Linked DNA regions of Drosophila melanogaster. The protein of the gene in region 1 interacts with the protein of each later gene in a pairwise test. Each region holds a gene or a part of one and is shown in the gene's direction. Other genes may lie near its edges. The genes, in order: SMC1 and CG3078.

Evidence for each region.
Region 2: the proteins of SMC1 (region 1) and CG3078 interact in a two-hybrid assay, tested with the Drosophila melanogaster proteins (one large-scale study listed by BioGRID).

The regions. Positions count from the first base shown.
Region 1 is NT_033777.3:24,056,400-24,067,724, forward strand, and holds SMC1 (structural maintenance of chromosomes 1), read left to right. Parts: upstream 1-1,887; 5' UTR 1,888-2,001; coding exon 2,002-2,400; intron 2,401-2,455; coding exon 2,456-2,604; intron 2,605-2,662; coding exon 2,663-2,831; intron 2,832-2,889; coding exon 2,890-3,912; intron 3,913-3,975; coding exon 3,976-4,545; intron 4,546-4,611; coding exon 4,612-4,867; intron 4,868-4,923; coding exon 4,924-5,228; intron 5,229-5,291; coding exon 5,292-5,392; intron 5,393-5,457; coding exon 5,458-5,961; intron 5,962-6,021; coding exon 6,022-6,199; intron 6,200-6,260; coding exon 6,261-6,323; 3' UTR 6,324-6,416; downstream 6,417-11,325. Other genes in the region: Hsp68 (heat shock protein 68), read right to left, coding at 1-705.
Region 2 is NC_004354.4:2,251,651-2,263,917, reverse strand, and holds CG3078 (uncharacterized protein), read left to right. Parts: upstream 1-4,054; 5' UTR 4,055-4,197; intron 4,198-5,176; 5' UTR 5,177-5,443; coding exon 5,444-5,590; intron 5,591-5,651; coding exon 5,652-6,038; intron 6,039-6,419; coding exon 6,420-7,758; intron 7,759-7,816; coding exon 7,817-8,178; coding exon of another isoform or gene 8,179-8,244; 3' UTR 8,245-9,515; downstream 9,516-12,267. Other genes in the region: CG3071 (uncharacterized protein), read right to left, coding at 1-861, 930-1,022; temp (tempura), read left to right, coding at 1,882-1,967, 2,064-2,452, 2,503-3,224; CG3091 (uncharacterized protein), read left to right, coding at 9,831-9,960, 10,308-10,467, 10,520-10,601, 10,670-11,002, 11,058-11,194, 11,253-11,322; CG3191 (uncharacterized protein), read left to right, coding at 12,081-12,246.

The DNA.
Region 1 (11,325 bases):
CAATCGGTTGTCGAAGTCCTCGCCACCCAGATGTGTGTCTCCCGCAGTCGAGCGCACCTCAAACAGGGATCCCTCGTCAATGGTCAAGATGGAGACGTCAAAAGTACCACCGCCCAAATCGAAAATCAGCACATTGCGCTCTCCCTTCAGATTCTTGTCCAGGCCGTAGGCCAGAGCCGCCGCTGTTGGCTCGTTGATGATGCGGAGCACATTGATGCCAGCGATGGCACCAGCATCCTTTGTTGCCTGGCGCTGGGAGTCGTTGAAGTAGGCCGGCACTGTGATGACAGCGTCCTTCACTGTAGTGCCCAGGTAGGCTTCTGCAGTCTCCTTCATTTTGGTGAGTACCATCGAGCTAATCTCCTCGGGAGAGAAGCACTTATTCGCGCCCTTGAACTCCACGCTTATCTTTGGTTTGCCGTTGTCGTTGATCACTTTGAACGGCCAGTGCTTAATGTCCTCCTGGATCTTGGAATCGTCGAAACGACGCCCAATCAGGCGTTTGGCATCGAACACAGAGTTCTTGGGGTTCATGGCCACCTGGTTCTTGGCGGCATCTCCAATAAGGCGTTCCGAGTCGGTGAAGGCCACGTACGATGGTGTGGTACGGTTACCCTGGTCGTTGGCAATGATCTCCACTTTTCCGTACTGGAAGACTCCCACGCAGGAGTATGTGGTGCCCAAATCGATTCCAATGGCTGGCATCTTGGCTATTTCTGTTGCTTTTTAGTTTGAACTTGGGTGCGTTTTCTTGTGGATAGTTTTCAATAATTTGTATGCTTCTTTGCGTTTTGCTTTTCTATTTTTTCACTTGGTAAAGACGTTTCAGTTTTCAACTGTCACTCTGAACTGCTTTTTATTTTTCGTTTGCTGAAGTGTTTTCACTTTGGCTGTTTGATTTCAAATGTAGCGTCTGGGAAATTTGCGCCCGTATTTATACTCAGTCGCCGGGAGGGGAAAATTCGAGATTTCCCTGCGAGAAAGGGTCAGAACATTCCAGTCAGTTCGTGTGTGTGCGAGCGAGTCAACTAGTGTGCACTTCGCAGGGGAAATTGTCAGTTGAAAGGACTGAAAGTTCAGGAAATTTCGAGAAATATATTTTTTTTATTGACATAGGTCATCATTCCAAGTGGTCATTAAACTAAATTCGTATGCAAGCTATTTTTGGCTGATTTGCGGATTGATACGTTAAGCCATTCATATTTTTAGATTCTGTTTTTGGTTTATATCTCTTTTATTATATGTGCAATACATATGTGTGTATTTTTCTTCTGATTGGAATATTTCCTCTGCAGAATATGACATACAATTACCTTAAAAGTTGAACACACTTTTCAAAACTTAATTATTCCAATTAATTATTTCCAAAAATTTAAAGAATCGTACTGCTCTATATCCAGGATACATAAATATATAGATACATATATAGGATGTACATAGATAGGATGTATATAGAATACTTCGTAGATCGATACAATCTTTAATGTGTTTATAAATAGGGAATTTTAAGATGCAAGAGCAAATGAAAAAAATCTCAGCTTGCATTATGAATATACATATGAAAATGTATAGATAATTGTACATATTAATATATATATAGTTCTGATTTCCATGACCTTTTGAAGGGTATTATGAAAAGATCCTGAAATGAAGAACAAGCCATTGGAAAATCTACAGTGATGATTGTTTTAAACCGAAAATGCCTTCGGTTCGCATAAGCCCAAGATTATAAATTATTCATTAGTTTTAAAATGTTTTTGTTTACAAATTGTATTTTGTAAACAAAGACGACCGATAGTAATCGATAGTGGTTAATTTGAAATGAAAATTGTACTATCGCTGATGTATCCCATCGATAGTTTGTTTTCTACGCCTTGCCATCTCTAGCGTCTGATATTGATGGCGTTAGCCGGATACGGTCATACTGTCATAAGAGAAAAAAAATTATTTCGCGCTCATATTGTTATTTTTCTTGGATATTTGTTGCAATCGAGCGTGTGAATGACCGAAGAGGACGACGATGTGGCCCAAAGGGTGGCGACGGCGCCCGTCCGCAAGCCGGACGACGAGACGGCCTTCCTGGAGTACATCGAAATGGAGAACTTCAAGTCCTACCGCGGTCACATAGTTGTGGGTCCTCTGAAGCAATTCAACGCTGTTATTGGGCCCAACGGATCAGGCAAGTCAAACTTCATGGATGCCATCAGTTTCGTGATGGGCGAGAAGACCAGCAGTTTGCGAGTAAAGCGCCTGAACGACCTCATCCATGGCTCCTCCATTGGCAAGCCCGTTTCCCGCAGTTGCTACGTGACCGCCAAATTTGTGCTGAACGAGGAGCGCCACATGGACTTCCAGAGGGCGGTTATCGGCGGCTCCTCGGAATATCGTATCAATGGAGAGGTTCGTATTGACAACCAATCCTCTTATTAGCCAATTAATCATATCCCCCATTTAGAGCGTATCGAGCAGCACGTACTTGAACAAGCTGGAGAAAATTGGCATCAATGTTAAGGCCAAGAACTTTTTAGTATTCCAGGGAGCTGTTGAGAACATAGCCATGAAGACACCCAAGGAACGCACTGCTCTATTTGAGGAAATTAGCGGGTAAATTTTAATTTTTTACCTAAAATCCGGATTTTTTGACCCGTGTTCACTTTTCCAGTTCTGGCCTGCTTAAGGACGACTATAATCGACTTAAACAAGAAATGATTGTTGCCGAGGAGGAGACCCAGTTTACTTACCAAAAGAAGAAGGGCATCGCGGCGGAAAGAAAAGAAGCCAAGCACGAGAAGATGGAAGCTGATCGCTACACTCGCCTGCAAAATGAATACGTATGACTCTTTATTCTGCCAACTCTATCCAATTAGCTACATCTTTTTATTCTAATAGAATGAAAAACAAGTGGAGTATCAATTATTTAGGCTATTCCACGTGGAGAGGGACATCCGGAAGTTTACGAGCGATTTGGAAGTGAGGCAACAGGAAGTTAAAGCAGTCGAACAGCGAAAAGAAGCTGCCGATGAAATCCTGCGCGAAAAGAAGAAAGACGCCGGAAAAATCACCCGAGACCTGGCCAAAATCGATCAGGAAATCAGAGAGTTTGAAACCCAGATGAACAAACGCAGGCCCCTTTACATCAAGGCCAAAGAGAAAGTTACCCACTGCAAGAAGAAGCTCATTTCCCTACAGAAGACTCTGGAAACAGCCAGGGAGGCGGACAATGCCCATCAGTCGGACATACGGAAACTGGAGAAGCAGCTGGCTGATGTGGAGGCCCTGAAAAAACGTTTCGAGGACGAGATCGAGAACGAGTCGCAGCGCCGCGGCAAAAGCGTTAACATGGAAGAGGGCCTTGTGCAAGAGTACGATCGCCTGAAGCAGGAGGCGGAAGCCACAGCTACGCAGTACCGTTCAGAGCTGGACTCAGTAAACCGGGAGCAAAAATCCGAACAGGACACGCTTGATGGGGAGACAAATCGTCGCGCCTCCGTAGAGGAGTCCTTCAAGAAGCTCACATTACAGCGCGAGGAAGCTGTAAAGCGTCGAGACAAACTGATGGATCACATCAAATCATCACAGGCTGCCTTGGAGGAACAGAACCGGATCAAGGACGAGCTCCGGCGAGATGTTGGCACATCCAAGGAGAAGATAGCCGAAAAGCAACGCGAATTGGAGGACGTACGCGATCAACTGGGCGATGCCAAGAGCGACAAGCACGAGGATGCTCGTAGGAAAAAGAAGCAGGAGGTGGTGGAGCTCTTCAAAAAACAGGTTCCCGGAGTGTACGACCGTATGATTAACATGTGTCAGCCGACGCATAAACGCTACAATGTGGCCGTCACCAAAGTTTTGGGCAAGTTCATGGAAGCCATTATTGTGGACACCGAAAAGACGGCTAGACACTGTATTCAGGTGGGTTTCAGTTGATCAACTGGGATTTACATGTAAGCATTGACGATTTTATATGTTCTATAGATCTTGAAGGAGCAAATGCTGGAAGTGGAAACCTTCTTGCCCTTGGACTATCTGCAAGTTAAGCCTCTGAAGGAACGACTTCGTAACATCAGCGACCCGCGGAACGTGCGATTGGTTTTCGATGTACTAAAGTTTGAGCCTCAAGAGATCGAACGGGCTGTGCTCTTCGCCACAGGCAATGCTCTCGTTTGCGAGACTCCCGAGGACGCCATGAAAGTGGCTTACGAGATAGACCGATCACGTTTCGATGCTCTGGCCCTGGACGGAACATTCTACCAGAAATCGGGTCTCATATCTGGCGGTAGTCACGATCTGGCTCGCAAAGCTAAGCGATGGGACGAGAAGCACATGGCTCAGCTGAAAATGCAGAAGGAGCGCCTTCAAGAAGAGCTCAAGGAGCTGGTGAAAAAGTCACGTAAGCAGAGTGAGCTCGCCACTGTGGAGTCGCAGATCAAGGGTCTTGAAAACAGGCTTAAATATAGTATGGTCGATTTGGAGTCCTCCAAGAAGTCAATTAGTCAGTATGACAATCAGTTGCAGCAAGTCCAATCGCAGTTGGACGAATTTGGAGTGAGTTTCCCTTTCAAGTTACAAAATTAAACCTAATTTATAATCTTGTCTATCCCAATTTTGCAGCCCAAGATCCTTGAGATCGAGCGTCGTATGCAAAACCGCGAGGAGCACATCCAGGAAATCAAAGAAAACATGAACAATGTGGAGGACAAAGTATATGCCTCTTTCTGCCGTCGCTTGGGCGTGAAGAACATACGACAATACGAGGAGCGTGAGCTCGTCATGCAGCAAGAGCGAGCGCGTAAACGGGCTGAGTTCGAGCAGCAGATTGATTCCATAAACTCGCAGCTGGACTTCGAGAAACAGAAAGACACTAAAAGTAAGTATACAAAATACTATGCTTTTAAAATGCCAAACAAATGCCTGCCTTCACAGAAAACGTTGAGCGCTGGGAGCGCAGCGTGCAGGATGAGGAAGATGCCCTAGAGGGACTCAAATTGGCTGAGGCACGCTATTTAAAGGAAATCGACGAGGATAAGGAGAAAATGGAAAAATTCAAGCAGGACAAGCAGGCCAAGAAGCAAGCCGTGGATGACATGGAAGAGGACATATCTAAAGCTCGCAAGGATGTGGCAAATTTGGCCAAGGAGATCCATAACGTGGGCAGTCATTTATCTGCGGTAGAGTCTAAGATCGAGGCCAAGAAAAACGAACGTCAGAACATACTGTTGCAAGCAAAAGTAAGTTAAAGTAATTATATGATAACTATTACTCTGTCTTATAATGTATTATTCACTCTGTAGACCGATTGCATCGTGGTACCACTGTTGCGCGGCTCGCTGGACGACGCAGTGCGACAAAGCGATCCGGATGTCCCATCCACCTCTGCAGCGATGGAAAATATGTAAGTTTATTTAATCACAGCATCAAAAACAACTGAACTAAAGTACGTTATTGATTCATTTTCAGTATTGAAGTGGATTATTCATCTCTACCACGAGAGTATACCAAGCTGAAGGATGACTCCGCTTTCAAAAAGACCCACGAAATGCTTCAAAAGGACCTGCAAAGCAAGCTGGACGTCTTGGAGCGCATACAGACACCCAACATGAAAGCACTGCAGAAACTCGATGCTGTAACGGAAAAAGTGCAATCCACCAATGAGGAGTTTGAGAATGCGCGCAAGAAAGCAAAGAGGGCCAAGGCGGCATTTGAACGGGTTAAGAACGAACGCTCCTCGCGATTCGTTGCGTGTTGCCAGCACATATCGGACGCCATTGACGGCATCTACAAGAAATTGGCTCGCAACGAGGCAGCCCAGGCTTATATCGGTCCCGACAATCCTGAGGAACCATATCTGGATGGTATTAACTATAATTGTGTGGCGCCAGGCAAACGTTTCCAACCCATGAACAACTTGAGTGGTGGCGAAAAAACAATAGCAGCCTTGGCTCTGCTCTTCTCGACCCACAGGTATGCAGATATAATATTTTTCCACATTTTGAGAGTAAATATTAATATATTTTTATGCAGCTTTCATCCAGCGCCGTTCTTTGTCCTTGACGAGATTGATGCCGCCTTGGACAACACGAATATTGGCAAAGTCGCTTCGTATATAAGGGATCACACAACCAACCTGCAAACCATCGTCATTTCCCTGAAGGAAGAGTTCTATGGTCATGCTGATGCTCTTGTGGGCATTACGCCTGGGGTACGTACTCAACTGGTGTAAGTTTAGGCAAGCCTAATTTTGGTTTACTCTTGACTTCCAGGAAGGCGACTGTCTCGTATCAAATGTTTACATAATGGACTTGACAACGTTCGAGGACACGTAAAGTTCATATGTCGGATGTATATTAAGTATTAGATGTAACTTTAAAGTAAATCTCGGGATTTCCAATTAATAAAGCCAGTAAATGTGTAGACGTACAATTTTTCAAACTATTCCATTACACACTCTAGTAATTCGAAAATTATACTTACTTCAAAGAAAGATAGGAACCACTTAGATGTTTTGAAAATATGTTCTGCAACTTTAATAGTTTCCTTTATTTAGGCTTGCGTTGGTTGTACTGTACCGGAGAAAGTTAAATGTGTTTGGATGTGTGAAATTATGGTTTGATGGATGGATGCTTTTGGTATATGTAAAACAACTGGGTTTTTGCTTTTAGTTTCAATTTTTAGTTTTTCTCTTTTTTTTTTCTTCACGTAAAAAACTTTTTGTATTTCATCAAGAACAAAAACAAACAATTTGATTATTCAGTTTCGGTTTGTATCATTAATTTAAAATAATCATTGCAAACAGATAAATATTGCATCGGCTAGTTAGTGTGTCAGTTTCATTGATTCATTATTATCTTTTGTGTGTTGGCTGCCTGCCGGCTATGGCGATAATCGATAAGGCTACGATACAAGGGCACGCCTGTGGGAGATTGAGATAAGGTTTGGTAAACTAAAAAAAAAAAAAATAAAATAGTATCGATTAAGCCAGATTCGAGAGGCTTCAGGCTTCGATTTCTGTGCAATTAGTGGGACTCTGATTTTCTTTAATAGGGAATGCCTAATTTATACTTTATACATACGAACTAAAATGTTTATGGCGTTTCATATATACACACACTTGTAAATACAAAGATTTGTCTCATTAGCGCTTAAATATTAATTTGCCTTTCTGTGGATTTGATCTTCGGGTTGTCCTCGTTCTCGATGCGGCATTCATGGTTGGTGTTTTGATTCCGTTGGGTATGATGTTCTTCTATTGTGTCCAGGATGGTTCATTGTGCTTGCTGTTGGTGTAACTCTTGTCCTGTGCTGTCGATGAACTGTTGTGGCTGTTGCTGCTTTCACTACCGACTTATATTATCTGTTTGTGTAATTATTGTTTTTGTTTTTCTTTTGTTTATAGTTATTCACTGAATTTCAGCTTTTCAATGGGCCTTTATTACTGCAAAAAAAAAAGGAAGAAGAAGAATATTGGATATTTAGTTCGAAGATCTTATGAGCATGGCCACTGCTGGTTTCCCATCCCAAATCATTAATTAAAAGTTAATTCACTTCACTAATATCTTGATAATCGAGTTGGGTTTTTGTATCATGATTTTCCGTATCTTGAATTAAAGCCGTATCGATTTCGATAAAAAAGGTTTCCCAGCTTATGATTTTGACGTCTCGGCCTGCGTATGGTACAGGTGGTATTCGAATTACCAGATTAGTTAACGATAGTTATGCAAATATTCTCTAATAGCTACAAGCTTGTCTAGTTGGCAGTTAAAATATTACTTTCCGCTTACTTACATTGAAACATATTTAAGGCTATCACAGTGTATCTTATACTCCAATGCCGTTGTTAGAGGTATATTTAATATCCTGCGTAACGTATCACGGATACGTGTTGTACTGGTCATATCAGTGGCAGTCCGGTGCCATACTGATAAGCTATCCTCCTGCAGGGGGAAAGGAAATATGTAAGTTAGAAACAGTTACTTTGAGTTATATTTAATGATCCGAGGAAACCATGCCATGCCGAGGGAGGATTGAGTAAGTAAAAACACCATTTATAGCTTTTTTTTTTGTTTAATACTTTTTATTTCTCAATCAATATGTAAGGAAATCATTTCACACGTCTGACCAATTGGAAATGAAAAAATTATAATAATAATGGTAATAAGAAACACACTTGATATTAACACAAAGGCAAATCTAATTTCTTAATTTAACTTTTGTTTTTCTCATTTCGATTTTGTTTCTTTGCTGGTTTTTATTTTAAATTTGTTTTCACTTTTTTTGTTTTGCTGTTACTGTGCTCTTCACATATTACTTTCATCGGCTGCTGTTCCATGATTTTCTTTTTCTGCATTTATTAATCATACATTTCTCTATGTATAAGACTAACACTTAAGTATAATGTGGTTTTTTTTCATTACTTTTCATAATTAACTAAATTGTCTAAGAAGAGAGAAAATATATGATAATATGCAATTTGTTTTTGTTACGGATTTTTGTTGGTTTTTAATTAATTTTTTGTGTTTTTTTTTTGCTTTTGTTATTATATTATTTAAACATTTTTAACAATTATGAGTATTTGCTCAAAAACTTGACTTGAACCGCTTTTTGTAGCATTTAGCGCGGTTTGGTTTCGTGTGGTTTTGTTAGTTGAATTTTGATTTCCTTTTAAGTAGGGTTTACTGTGGTGTTCGTGTGCGCACACAAAACTAATTTGTTTTTCGCCACTAAAGTTCGTCGCTCGCCTTCTCTCTTGTTCTTAAATGGATCGTTAGTTCGTATCGACTTTGTTTATATATACGCATATATAATGTTTATAATCGGTTTACATATGTGTGTATATATAGGTGTAGCATTACTTTTGTGTGGCTGTGTCAGTGTGGTGTTTTAAACGCTTGTTAAATTGCACATTGATATTTTTAATATTTTGTAAATATTAAACTTTACTTCGTTTGGTTTCATTCTTTGCTAAATTATTTGGACTATCTTCGGTATATATGTTTGTATGTATGTATAATTTATATATATGCTAATTTGTAACTATAATTAAAATATATGTATAAATATTTAATCATGTTAGTTCTCGACTTTCTTGGTTGTTTTATCATACTTGGAAATATACTTTCATTATTGCTTCTTGAATATACATATGTGAATCCCGTTAAGTATTTACTTGTTTGCGTTCGTCCTTTATTGTTATGGTGTTTGTGTGTGTGTATGTTTGTGTCTCTGTGTGTGGTTTCTCCATCATCCTGTTTGTCTTCGCTCTCTGATCCCGAATTGGTTTTCTTTTGCTTGTTATTGCCATCAGTTTTGGTTGCCGATTTCGCTGATTGCTGTCGTCTGAGTGCTGAGTAAAAATGCTTCGATATGCCTGGAATTATTGTTGCAATTGCTGCTCCCAATGCACGACACATTCACCAAAAATAATCATCAATCTATCAATTCAACATCGCGCTGAAGCCACTGCTTTCTATCTGTCCCTTTCGCTCTTCTCATCTCAAGCCATGTGTGTGAGTGCGTCTGCTTGTGTTTCGACTATTGCTGACCTCTTCTGAAGGCTGCCTGCATGTTGGCGTTGGCAACCCTACGCAAAACAGAGTTGCACGTAACGCTCTATTCCATTCCATTCGTTCCTTTTCCACCTCCACTGTTAATTTTTTTCTTTTTTGAATTTTATTCAATTTTAAAGTACAATTGCACGAGTGATTTTTGTTGCACTCGTCACTAAGAATATATATATATTTTTTTTGTTTTTTTTTTTTGTCTGGCGGTTGTTATGGAAATTGATTTGATTTGTTACTAATTATTCATATATAGAGTTGTATATATATGCGTATGTATATATAAATAGTCCAAATTATGTTAATATTAAAATTCTAATTTTTATTAATTGAACTTTTGCGCTTAAATTTAGCAATTTATTTGTTATCTTTTTCTAAGTTTATTTTTTTCCTTTTTCGTTCACAATCAATAAAATGATAAAATGAAACAAATTATAGAAAAATATATATAATTGTCTGTATTTATTGCGGAGCCAAAACTTATAAATAAATTAGACAAGAACTAAAGCTAAACATATAAATAACAAGACAACTAAATAATAGAACCTAGAAACTTCATTATTTTTAAGTTTGTTTTAATTTTGTTAGGGTTTTGAGCTTGAGGATTGAAGAGACTCAAAATTCAATTCTTCGTATCGTTTTTTCATGTAAATTTAATTTGATTGGTGAAAAGTGGAAGAAATGCGATTCAAGTAGAAAAACTAAAATGTTTTCTTCCTTTACTCTCGAAAATCGTATTAATATTATAGGTTAATTTCGTATTTTCCATCGTTTTCTCTCATTCAATATTTTACAAACATTTCGTGTCTGAGCGGAGAGGGGTGCGTGCTTTTTTACAAGTTTAGAAACGAACACATTCACGTAGATATAGAATAACGATTAGTGTGTGGGTTGCTCCCCTCCCCAGGGGTATATAGATATATCGATCTGAAGAATGCTGGGTAATAAGAAGAACACCAAGGCCCCGGCTTGAGTAGGTTGGTTTAAGGCCCAAAATGTTAGCTAGTCGAAGCCAAGCGCTCTTTTTATGTATACATAGAGAAGATATAGCACACACATAATAAATAACTGAAAGATTTTGAATGTGGGATTCTACGCTTTGCTTTATATACGCACAACATTTACATAGAATTCGTAATTTATATATATATATAATTGGTTTTTATATAATTAGGAATATGGGGTAGGTAATCTAAGTTTGAAAAATCATTTTACATATTCATTTTTAGTAGAAAAACGCAGTTTTATTATATCGTGTTTACAGCAAATTTGTTTTGTTTTTTATCCGCTTTTCTTGCTATAATTTTTTATTATTATAATTTAAATTTAATTCGAAAAATCTACTTAGTGAAATTTGTTACGTTGGTTAACAGTTTTGTATATTTTTTTTATTTTTCTGCTTTACTTGCTTTAGGTTTCTTGTTAAAGATTGATTTATATATATAACATCACATTATAATAATTACTAATTAATAGATTTGCCCTCTGCTCTTTCGTCTCTTTGCTTTGTATTTCGTTTTTAATTTTGCAATCATAGCATTTGCAAGAAGCACACATATGAAGTTTCGTAATAAATATTAGATTTATGTTTACAACTTTCGGTTTTCCTGGGATAACCGCTGAATTTGCTCACGTCACAATTCAGCGTAGACCACAATAATAATTATAATGACTATTTACATGGAAAATTTAACGAATATAAACCGAACGATCTGATTTAGCATCTCTGGGTGTCCAAGTGTAGTTGTCTATAGGCCTATTGTTTCGCTTC
Region 2 (12,267 bases), on another chromosome or scaffold:
AATGGAGACTAGACCATCGACCATTCCAGCCACAACTGCTTGATCTCCGTCAGCAACAGCCATGCTGACCACCGCATTGGGATAAGTCAATGTGTGCACTGTTTTGTAGGTGCTCACATCGTAGATTTTCACGTGCCTATCGAGCCCGCCTGAGAGCAATCTCCTGCCATCGGATCCCAGTCGCAGACAAGTTACTGTTTTGTGATGCTGCGACATCATGGTGAGCAGACGGCAGCCGCTGATGAGATCCCATACGCGCACCTGGCTGCCGCCGGCGCTGACGAAAATAGAGCCGTTCGGAAGGAACAACATGGACTCCACCGGAGCTCCGTGATCTAAGGTGCGCTGCACCGCCGTTTCCGCTCTCGTATCGTACAGTTTGATCTTGCCATCGTAGCCGCCGGAGACGAACATATGCCCTGCCTGCGGATGCATGGCGCCTGCACGAACGTAGTCGGTGTGCGTGTCCTCGTACGTTTGCACCACCTTCTCGTTTGCCACGTCCCACAGACGGACCGACTTGTCGTCTCCAAAACTGGCTAGCTGCAGCTTGTCCGCCGTAAAGAAGGTGCGGTGTACTGGTGCCGTGTGTCCCTTGAACAAACGCAAGATGTTGCGACTGGTGGTGTCGAATAGCTTGACATGGCCCTCCTCGTCGCCGGCGGCCAGGAGTCGACCATCCTGCCGGAAGGTGGCGCCGTATGCGGTCTTTTGGAATCGGGAAAGGTTCTTTACCACAAGCATGGTCACCAGGTTGTAAATCTGAACGCGCACCGAACAGGTCACAACAAAGTTGTCAGGATCGCTTGGACTGAAGTCCAAATAATCGATGGTGTTGTGCTCCTTGAGTAGTTCTGGTTTCTGTGGAATGCAGAGGGGAAACAATGATTTGGTTGCCGAGCCTCTCTGCCTAGTCCTATACAACTCACCGCCAGTCGGTCCCAGTACACCGTATCCGGCGTTTCCACCTGGGCCCGCTGTCGAAAACGCCGTGTGTTCAGTGGAAGAAAGGAGTTCTGCATCCTGTCTGTGTATTTCTACTAAATCTCTTTCGGGCGCGCACGTGTTAGATGGGAAGAGTGTGACCAGCGGAATGTAACAGTGGTGGCAAACATTTTGGTTTTTAGCCAAATCCGCGTGCACACAAATACGGAGGTGCTCATTGAATTCAATAAATTTTCTTAAATATCTTAATCATTCTGCTATCAACTGTTTATTAAACGCATATACTTAAGAAATAATTCCGTTAATACTGAAAAAATATATGAATGTAGCAAATGTACTGATAATACTGACTGTAGAAAAAAGGAAAAAAAAATTGAAAAATTCTAATGTCCCAGCTAATGCCTGCTTTCAATAGCCATTTTCCCGACAGTTGGTTCTGACGTCGCGGTTAGTAGGTTATCGTGGCAAGTGCCTCCTCTGTTGTTGTGCACACCAAACACATGTTTGCAAACAAACATATGCTCACCGTCGCCAAAAAAAGGGAACACATTTCCGAGCTTGCGGACCGATCCGCCGGAGAACCGCGCTTTGGGGTGAACCAGATTGACAGCCCCTCGCACTGGGCACTGAAATAATAATAATAATAAAGGCTAGATCTCGTGTCCAGGCCCCGGCTTAATTGAAATTTATTTGTTGTGATGCGGCCGCCTTTGGGGGTTCCATAGTCGCGTAGACAGGGTTCCAGCCTCCGCCATCTTCTCCTCTTCCTCCCCTTTCCAAATCTTAATTAACCGGAGACATTGAGCATGTTCATATTAATTGGAGGCAATCAATGTGCCTGAGACCCTCGAATCGAACGGAACGGAAGCGAGATCCCCGAGGAAGCAAAAACCACATCCCCATTGAAATTCCACGTTCGGACTATACTCAAATTCCATGGAGGAGGAACGCAACGAGAAAAAGGTGCTCTGCGAGAAGATCATCAGGGACATCAATGCGGTGTTCCTCAAGGATCAGGATCTGTGAGTCCAGCATTTAGTTCTACTATAGATCTAATCAGACTGTTAGCAATGAAAGCAAGCCTTGATGTCCGAATATATTGTTCTTTTCTCCACCAGCGCCTCCTTTGAAATTATACCCAAAGAAGCCAACTGCAACAAATCGCCGGTTGTGCATGTGGAGCACAATCTGGGCCTGGAATCGTGGTGTGCCCAGCATGTCTACGACCACGCCCACCGCACCCTCATCTCCCATCGCCGTCAAACCACGGCGCAACAGCTGCGGACGCTGCAGCAGCAGCAGCAGAGCGACTCCCTGGCCAAATACCTAAACGTGGCTCTGCTGATTAATCCCGATGTGACCACCTTTTGGCACATCCGCCGTCAGCTGGTGCAAAAGAATCGGCTGAGCATCAACAAGGAGCTGCAGTTCTCCGCACTCGTGCTCTCAATCAAACCGAAGTCCAATGAAGCATTCGCCTACCGCCGTTGGCTGTACTCATTTCAAAGTAAGTGGACGTCGGCAACTGGGGATCCCATTTCATTCCATTATTTCCAGGTGCCGATGCTATTGACTGGCCCAATGAGATCGGGATATGCGAAAGGGCCGCCGATAGATGCGCCAGCAACTATCACGCCTGGTCGCACCGCCAGTGGATCCTTCAGAACGGCCCATGCCTGCTGCAATCGGAACTGCTACGCACGGAGAAGTTTATGCGGAAGCACATCAGTGACTACAGCTGCTACCACTACCGCCAAGTGCTCCTGAGTCGTGCATATGAGCTCAGTTTTGCCCTTCCCAAGGATTCCGGAGCCAGTGGTTCGTCTACGTTGGCCAGTCTGCAGCATCTAATGACAAGCTATGGCCTGGAATGTGAAGCCAACGCTGAGGATCTGCTGGGTCTCTTGCTACCACATGTGGATCTGAGTTCCGTGAGCAAGCAAAGGCTAATATCATTTCTTTACTGCTGCAACGTTGCCGCCAACGATATGCGTCTGTGTGCCGAGCAGCGCTTGATGTACGGATCGCGGGATTGCTTCGAGCTGCATCGCCGTGCGGCACTCAAGTTCATCGTGGAGCAGTGCGTGCGCCTGCAAATGGGCTTGCCCAATGGCCAACTGTTACCAGTGGCGTCAGGCGATCTGCGTTCGCATTTGGGCAACTTTGACTTTGAAGATAATCCGTTTTTAAGTGCCGTACGGCGCGAGGAGTCCACCCTGGGTGGTAAGCACCGGCGGTGGTGCAATCTTCACCTCAGCTTTGGATATCCAGCGGACTAGACAGCGCGACCTGATAAAGCTCAAATCAATCTACCCCAATAGAATTACTCACTCCCGGCCTTTCCGTTTGCCCATCCGTTCTGAAATGTGGCAAGTGTATAAAGACGTGTGTTTTATTTCCTATCTAATTATCGTCCCAAAAATACAGAAACTTGTGCAAGACAAATTGTTAAAGAGTAAAATACTAGAAAGGAAGACGATTCAAAACGGATTTGGAAACGGAAATGCCTCTATTCTACTCTACTATAAATGTGCGATCCAAAGACAAAGTTCAACTAGCCCGATATGACAACGGATCTCACTGGTCCGCCAATTGCATTTCGATATCTATTAGCGTTACCTGTTCGTTTCTGTTCTTAATCTGATCCGGGCACGATTTGTTAGCCCTTTGTTCAGAAGTAAAACTTAACCGATTATCGCCATGCCATGCACGTGTTTGTTGTTAGCCAATTGCAGTTAGTTTTTAAATAAATCCAAATCATAGACGACGCCTTTTTTATGCAGTTTTGAACGTCGAGCCAGTTCGGCTCGTTCATTTCGAGAATATCGATTCGGTAATGGCCGTAATGAGCACTCAAAATGCATTGTATGGGGGTTTCTTTTGCGCAGAGCAGTTGTAATATGGGATGGTATCGTTTTGTGGCGGTGCAGCCACAGCCATGACATCCCATCCCTTCCCCGAGTGAACTGGGGATTGTGGGGTAACGAGTATCGATTGCGCATGCCTGGGATGCGAGGTGGGATGTGCGAGATGCTGCCGAAGGCCTGAGATGACAACAATTTCAGCAGCGGACTCAGAATCGCCAGGCCGTAATCCCTACCAGCTTTTCAGTGTGTTTCTGGAGCAGTTCGCGTGCGGCGGTGTTTTGTGGAGTGTTGAGTGGCGAAAGTGCTGGCTTCTTTGAAGGCTTACAAACAATTTGTTTCCGACTCGTCGAAAAAAAGTGCATTCCAGTCAACCGAGAAATCAAAAGTAATAAACAAAGTATATTATTCGATTTTTTTTTTTAGTTTGCTGAACGGGGTTCCGTTTGTGGATACATGTGTACAGGCCAAGAGGATTTCAAGGGAGCATTGCATCGAGAGTGTGTGTGCGCTTTTCTGTGCCCGTCTTTGTTTGGTTTTAAAATATTCATATTCGTTTTCCATCCGCCCTCTTTGCATTTTTTATAACTCCCACCCACTTTTCCTGGCCCAAGGGGCGTGGGCCCAAAACTACGCCTCCATCGCAGTTCACTTCATGGGTGTGTGGTGTTCGTGAGGGGTGGGGGTTAGTTTATGATGTTTATGAGTTGATTATGGGCTGCAAAGTACTGTGCCATTGTCTTCGGGACCTGTTCCCTCCGGGCATCCCCAGGATCTTGTCCTGCACCATCCCGTCGTGTCCTGGAAATATACCTCGGAATACCTGACCCTGGGGCACCATCGGCTGCACATGTGTAGATAACACAAAATGGACACACCTGATGATTTTGTGCCAGTGTGGGGGGTGGGGTGTGTGTGCGAAGTTCCTACGGCCAAGGGAGCTATACTCGCGGCTGCACTAATAGCAGCGGCTAATAGGCACATTATTGAGTTGCCAAGTAATCCTACTAGTGGAAACTCAATCTAATTGGTGAGCATTAAGGTGCCACTTCCTTAGGACTTCAATCAGATTAGGATTAGCTAGCCTAGAAGCTTATTATTCCCACCATCCTATTTTTGCGACCGCGAGTGCCAGTGAATGTGCCAGAATGTAGTGAGTAAGTAACGGTAACGGCAACGGAAAGAACATGTGCGCATACGTAGGGCCTATGGCCCACATAAGTATGCAGTGCACGTACGGCCAGGTGTATGTGTGTGTGTGTGCGAGTAACGGTTTCCAGGTGCAGGTGTCAACTCGATAAGCAGCCGATAGATGGCGCTGCCGTTCAGGCCTCGCAACTTTTTCATTTCCTGTTTCCACTTCACAGTCATTCCGCTGCAGGAGAACAATATTTGCGTTTTGACACAGCCTTATACGCGGAATTGGGGGCGTGGCAGGTCGGCGGCGGACAATGAACCCGCCTACGCAGCAAGGACAATAATTGCAGACTGGATTGGAATGGGATGCCCGTGGAGCAGCAGCATGAGTTCGCCGTTTTGGAGCGATGGCAGTACTGGATTCGCAGTGGCCCCACAATCCACATAACTCGCACTACGGGCGCTAGGTTTTGATAAGTTGGCAATAATCGCCGGAAATGGGCAGTCTGCCGAATCTTCACGAGCTGGAGGAGGCGGAGCGCAAGCGGGAGAAGCGACGGGAGTACGAACTTCTGCTGGAGCAGCGGGCTCGGGACACCAGTCGCGAGCGGGAGCGTCTCTCCGCGTTTGCTCAGCAGCGCAAGGTGAGATCGCCTGAGTAGATCCCCCCTCCTTACGACTTATGTATTTTTCTACTCCACTCAGCAATCGTCGTATAATGCTTACATAATGGCTGGTCTGGGGATTGGTGGCGGATCCTTGAGCCTCAATGCCACCTCAGGAACTGCAACAGGCAACGGAGAGCTGCTCGGTGGCAATGGGACAACTGGCGGAAAGGGTCCGAACCAGGCAGTGGGCCCAGCTTCTGGATTGGCCACCAGCTCGGGAGCTCCGGTGGCCACCAGTGGCTTTGCGATGCTGGGACTGGGCAAGAAGTATGCCCCACACTCACACCACCATCAGCATCAGCACCAGCATCAGCACCAGCACCAGCACCATCAGCACCGCCATTCGCTGACCACCAGGCACAGAGTGCTTCGAACCCGCAGTTCAGGAGGAGCCCAGAACGTCTGGGAAGAGCAGATGATGGAGGTGAGTTCTCAGGTGAACACATAAAAAGTCCGCCTCTGTGTGAAAAGCCTTTATATAATTCATGTCACTTGCTTTCCGGCATGGTGACACCTGTCGCATATAAATAGAATCTGGGAGCTTATCTCCCTTTTTTCCTGGACACTCAACTATCATGTGGCGATGTGTGCACAAAAGGGGTGCCCTGTGGTCATTGGTGTGTCGTGAAAGGTGAGTGTTCGGACACGGACTCTCTTTCCAAGTTGAACTACAACTACTTCCCTACTCCGACTACTCCCCCTTTGCTATTGTTAAAGTGAAAGGTAGCTGGCTGTAATACCATTAGCCTGCCAGATGATTGGATTCTTGCTATATCCTAATACCCTTTTCTTGCATCTTTTCCAGCAGCACTTCACCACATACTCGCCGTCACCCATTTCGACGAGGTCGCATCGCATAAATCCGGTGTCCTCGTACCAGGTGCAGGCTGCTCTGGCGGCCTCTCGTCGTCGGGAGTCCATAAACAGCTCCATTGGAGCCACCTCCATACGGCGATTGATAACGCTGAACAACAGGAATTGCCGGCACAAGGTGCCAGCCCATGTGCGCCAAAAAGTGTGGCGCCAGTTTAGCTGTTTAAGCTTGGCCCACGGACTGATGAACTGCGTTCTGCTGCCGGTGATGGCGCTCCAGGGCTCCAATGCGGTGTGGCACCATCGGGAGGAATGGTTGCCCCTCGGTCCGGAGGTTGGATCCCTTCTGCTGAGTGCTCTCTTCCTGGTCGCCGCTGGTATGAGCCTGCCCAGCATTCGACTGATGAAACGATATGGTTATGGGCCACTAATTGTGGCAAACTATATGACAGTGCTCCTATTTCTTCTGTCGCACCTGTACGCCTCCATTTACACCCTTCTACCCGCCTATTTGCTGCTTGGCATGACCTTAAGCGGATCCGCTGGCTCCAAAGCCGCGTTGATTGTCCACTTTGGAGGGAAGTTGAGCTGCTCCTGCGATTCCCAGCAGTCGCAGGCGGCGGTCGATGTCTTGCACGAGGAGCACAAGATGTTTTGCAATCGGGATCAGAAGGTGAGGCGTCTGGCCAGGTGGTTCAGGGTTTCCCAGGACCTGGGTCTCATAGGAGGAGCCCTTCTGGCATCCATTTTGCTGGCCTGCAGCGATGGAAACTTTACGGGCGATTGCTCCGGATTGGTTTACTATGGAAACGAGAGCTGGCCACCACAACTGAGGGATTTCTACAATAGGAACGAGCACGGCGACAGGATCTGTGGGGCAGACATGTGTCCACTCAGAGTGCAGTCAATCCTGGAGGCGGGATGGGCCAATGGGAGCTCCATACCCAGTTCCATCTATGCTGGCTTCATCGAAAGTGAGCCTCGAGTGGCCGGGCAATCCTTGCTCTGGCTGTACGTTCTGTTCTCCATGGTATCATTGACCCTTTCGCTGCTGATAGTGGTGGACAAGGTGCAGGCCATAGGCTCATCGCGACCGGAGCGTTCGAGAGATGTAAGCATCACGGACACCCTGCTGTTTGCCGGACCCCTGGCCTATTTTGTGGGCACGGAACAGGCGTATATGATGGGTGACTTCTTGAGGGCCTTCGTCACCTGTTCGCTGGGCATCGGAATGATTGCCGGCGCGTTGATTGGCATGGGTCTGATGCAGCTCATCGTCTCCTGTACCTTGAGCATGCTGCTAAGGCACGTCAAGAGGATCGTCGTGATTTGTGAGTACCACCAGATGGACACAGGGTACTCGAAGTTACAACGCTCTTCTCTTTGCAGTGGCTGGTTTCTTCTTCCACTCCTGTCTACTGCTGGCGCTGTCCAGTTGGAAGCCCTCGAGTGACGACAGCGCCCTGTTCTACGTGATTGCCGCCTCGTGGGGTGCCTGTAATGGGATGTGGGAGACGCTCCTGCTCTCGCTGGTCACCCTCAACCATTCCAGTCATGTAACGGAGGTCCAGGCGCCTCTTCTTGCCCTTCGCTTCCTGGGACTGGGATTGACCTTTGCCGGTCACGGCTTCCTCTGCGAATCGATGAAGATCATTGCATTGGTGGTGCTCCTCGTCATCAGTGTGCCGCCATATGCCACTCTGGAAATCCGATTGGAGGCGCAACGCAAGGCGACGCTCGTCAGCTTATGACGCAGCATCTTCAGCTAGTCCCGACGAATGCGACGGGATGTCGTGGCCCGGACGCACACCATGTGACATGTTTCGGATACGGATACGGACGGAGAACTGGATCCGGATCCGGGTCGGCGGCCAGATCTGCTCGAATCGCAGCCCGTCAGTATGGAACGACAGACACAAGTCAAGCGACGCAAGCTACACTTCAAGCTCTGTGGACAGAAGTTGGTCGATTCGGAGAGGGATACAGTTTGAAGGATGTTTTAACTGGGGGCAAAGCCGGCTATTGACCTCTGTCCACGAGCCTAGAGGATAAGACTAGTTAATAGGTTTGATCTACACTCATGGGGGGTTCCCTTCTCAGTGGGTGCATTCTCAATTTATAGCATTTGCCAGTGCCAGTAATGTTGTTCCATGTCTATAACCTATCTATCAAATAGAGAAATAGAGAGAAAGGGAGTAAGCAAGAGAGAGAGAGAGAGAGAGAGAGAGAGAGAGAGAGAGAGAGTGAGCGAGCGAGCGAGCGAGCGAGCAAGAGAGGAAGAACATGAGAAGAGGAGAGAAGAGCTTTATGAGCCACAATAAGCATCTAGCATGTAGAACGTTATATATGTACCAGTATATCCGATCTGAGATGATAAATGGATACGATATCAATTGCCGTATCTGTATACATTTATGTATTTCGCCAAAGGCTCCTCCAAAAAAAGGTTTTTGTGTGTATTTCCTAATGTAAACTCCAAGGCATAGGTGTATTTAATTGGAACTCCAGTTTGCAGTTTATAAGCCGAAGAGAGATCTTATCCGATCCGCTCCAGAGTTAAAGCATGTTATGTATGTATGTGTTGTCGGTGTTATGTGCGTTATATAGGTTTCGAGACCCTCCACTTTTGCCTACCCCCATAGATGCATCCCGATTCAGATCCAGAACCAGATCCAGATCCAGAACCAGATTCAGATAAAACTAGCTGCAAACTGTTATGATAACAAGGTGAAATCCTAAGGTCTAAGGTCTAAAAGCAACAATGTTAACATTTTAAAAATTTTGAGAGTAACCATTTTGCGACCCTTGACGATTTCATACATCGGGCTAAGTATTACGAGTATGTTGCTAGCCATATACTACGAGTATATATACATATACATGTACACATAGACATAGGCATAGACATACTATATATTTTTTCTTAGCGCTGGTTCCATCTGAATACTGAACAAAGCTGGTCGCAAACGAATTAAACCGGTGGGACAGGAAGCCAAGTACGATAAGATCGAGTTCTACGTGTATTGGATGTGTGTTGTATATTGTAGGTGTCCATCTCCAGATCCAATAAAGATTTCAAAACAAGTCTATTAGTGAGTGTATTGCTGATTCGGCTTGCTCTCCAATGGAGCAATTAAAACCGCCCTCGTCTTTGCTTAATTGCAAACAACTGGACTCATCTGTGCGGCTGCTAGTGGAGCTTTGCATTGGAGCTTTCACTCGCCGATCCGATCGCGAAAAGCTAAAGATCGCGTCCGAATAGTGGTCACACACTCGTATCATTTCCAGCGGATGTGTGTGTGCGATCGGGCTAGTTAGCTTTATCAATTGGGGGTACTTAGCTAAGTTACTTGCTTAGTTAGTGGCTTTCTGCGGCCCCTGAGAGACGCATTGGGCTACAACAATGGATAAAGATACAGGGGATAAGGACTCCGCCCCCGAGACCAGCGCTTCGCCAGCAACTGGATGGAGCGACAAGCTGACGGATCTGGTCGCCTGGTTCGAGGCCAATCCCAATCTGCCCGAGAAGATCGGTAAGTGAGTCACTGGAATCGATTTCAAATGCGTTTCGCTCCGATTGATAACCAGTCAAGTGGCAGACGGAATTAATGGGCGCGCAATAACCTGTTGTGGTAACAATCCATAAACCTTGTAACAGAGCAGTGCCAAAGGTCAAGTGCATTAGGCACCTCCAGTGATAGCAAGGCACTTCCTCCTTGCTGAAGTTGGACTGACATGCACTTAGCTAGTGCCATATGCACACAGATACATTGGACATTGATTGAGAATTGAGAATTCTATCTTCATATAGTTGCAATGTATCTTTTGTTGTGAGTGCAGTAGCATCTAGCTTATCAAAATTTCCAATTCTTCCCGATAGAACCAATAGTTATGCTACGATTCCTCAAGTGCACGGCTTTTGATGTGGAACGCACCAAGGCCCTGGCGGAGCTAAATTATTGTATGCGCAATAAGAGCCCACATCTGTTCATGGATCGCAACATGGAGGACGAGATGACCGCCGAGGGCCTGAGGGTTTCGTAAGTGCAGCAAAAGATTCAATGAGCGAGTATTAACATTTGCCCTTCACAGGGACCTTTTGATATTACCCGGAGTCACTCCCCAGGGAAATAAGCTCATCTTCTTCCGCATGGCCGATCTGGATCCACGAACGGTGTGTCTCGACTCGGATGTCCGTTTCCCCTGTTGACTCATTGATCCACAATTGTGCTATTCCCACAGCGGAATTCTGTCGAGGAGACCAAAATCTTTGTCATGATGAGTGATGCACGATTCACAAAGCCGGATGTAGAGCGAGAAACAGGAAGCGGAGCTGATTACGTACTAGACGAAGCGGACATTGCCGAGGGCGATGTTCAGATTGTGGACATTGGGGGCTACACCCTACGCCACCTGGCCTACGTGTCCATATTCGTGCTGCGTGTTTACATGAAGTTCCTGCAGGAAGCCTATCCCTCGCGACTCCAGGCCATGCATGTCATCAACTGCCCCACTTACCTGGACAAGCTCATATCCATGATGTCGCCCTTCCTAAGGGAGGAAGTCCGCAACATGGTAGAACCTGAAAAGTACTTCATTCTAAGCACTAGCTAACCAAATCGTCTTGCAGATCCGGTACCACACAGAGGGTATGGATAGCCTTTACAAAGAAGTGCCCAGGGACATGTTGCCGAACGAGTACGGCGGCAAGGCGGGCACTGTAGCGGAACTCAAGGCGAAAGGCATTCAGTCCATCAGGGACAACGCGTGAGTATTACCTTTAGATGGGGATGTCCATCTTAGCCACCCATTCTGTACTTCATAGGGCTTATCTCAGCGACGAGCGGTACTGGAAGGTGGCCGCTCAGAGCAAGAGTCGGTGGTCCTGGTTCTGATATCCTGATCATCGAACGTGATATAAACATAAATGTGATCAAGCATCGCGTCTTGCCAAGCGAAGATATCGATTAGTTGGGAAAGTCCCAGAAACACTTACAGGTTCTAGAGCTCAGTGAAGCTGGCCCTCCATTAAGAATTCTTATTTTCATATTTTATTATTTTCTTACCAATTTCTCTATTATCAAATAAGGGGCTATTGTCGATTGATTGACAGCAATGGGAACAATATACTTGACAAAACAATAAATTATATTAATTACATTTTATGAGGTTTTATTACACCCAAAAGCCAGGTGGCTTTCAATGTTCTTCTATGATTACAAAAAACAAACGCTTCTTAGAAAAATTGCCCATCCCGCGAATTATCAATTAAAGTGAAAATTGTGTCACTACTTGCGATGGCATTGGGATGCGGCACACGACCAGGTGATTAGGCAGATCCAGAAGCTGGAACGGAACATATTTAGGCACTATTAAGCGTCGTCCAAACGATGGCCGAAAAGCCATTAAAAAATTACGTGGCTTTAATTGCCAACGCAGTAGCATTGAATATTCAAAAACTAAATCGATGAGCGAAATCGATGCGCAACTGTCAGTCAGTCGGCTGCCAGGCGTCAAGCCCAAAGGTTTAAAAGTGATTCGAAAGCGTTTTTGAAAGTGATTCGAAAGCGATTGCTGCGTCCGATAGCCGATAGCAGACCAACCTGGCGGAGGGAACAGCGACGGAGCAATCGATACCCAGGCCACAGCACCAATGAGCCGCATAGGTGTGAGAGAGACTGGGGCGAGCGGTACGTCCGAGCAGCTGCAGCGGGAACAGGATAGCGACACATCGGAACAGGCGGTGCGGAAGCAGGAACGGGATCTCAAGGAGCTCCTCGAGTGGTTCCGGCAAAATGACAAGCTGCCCAAGGAGATTGGTAAGCGATGAGCCCGAAAAC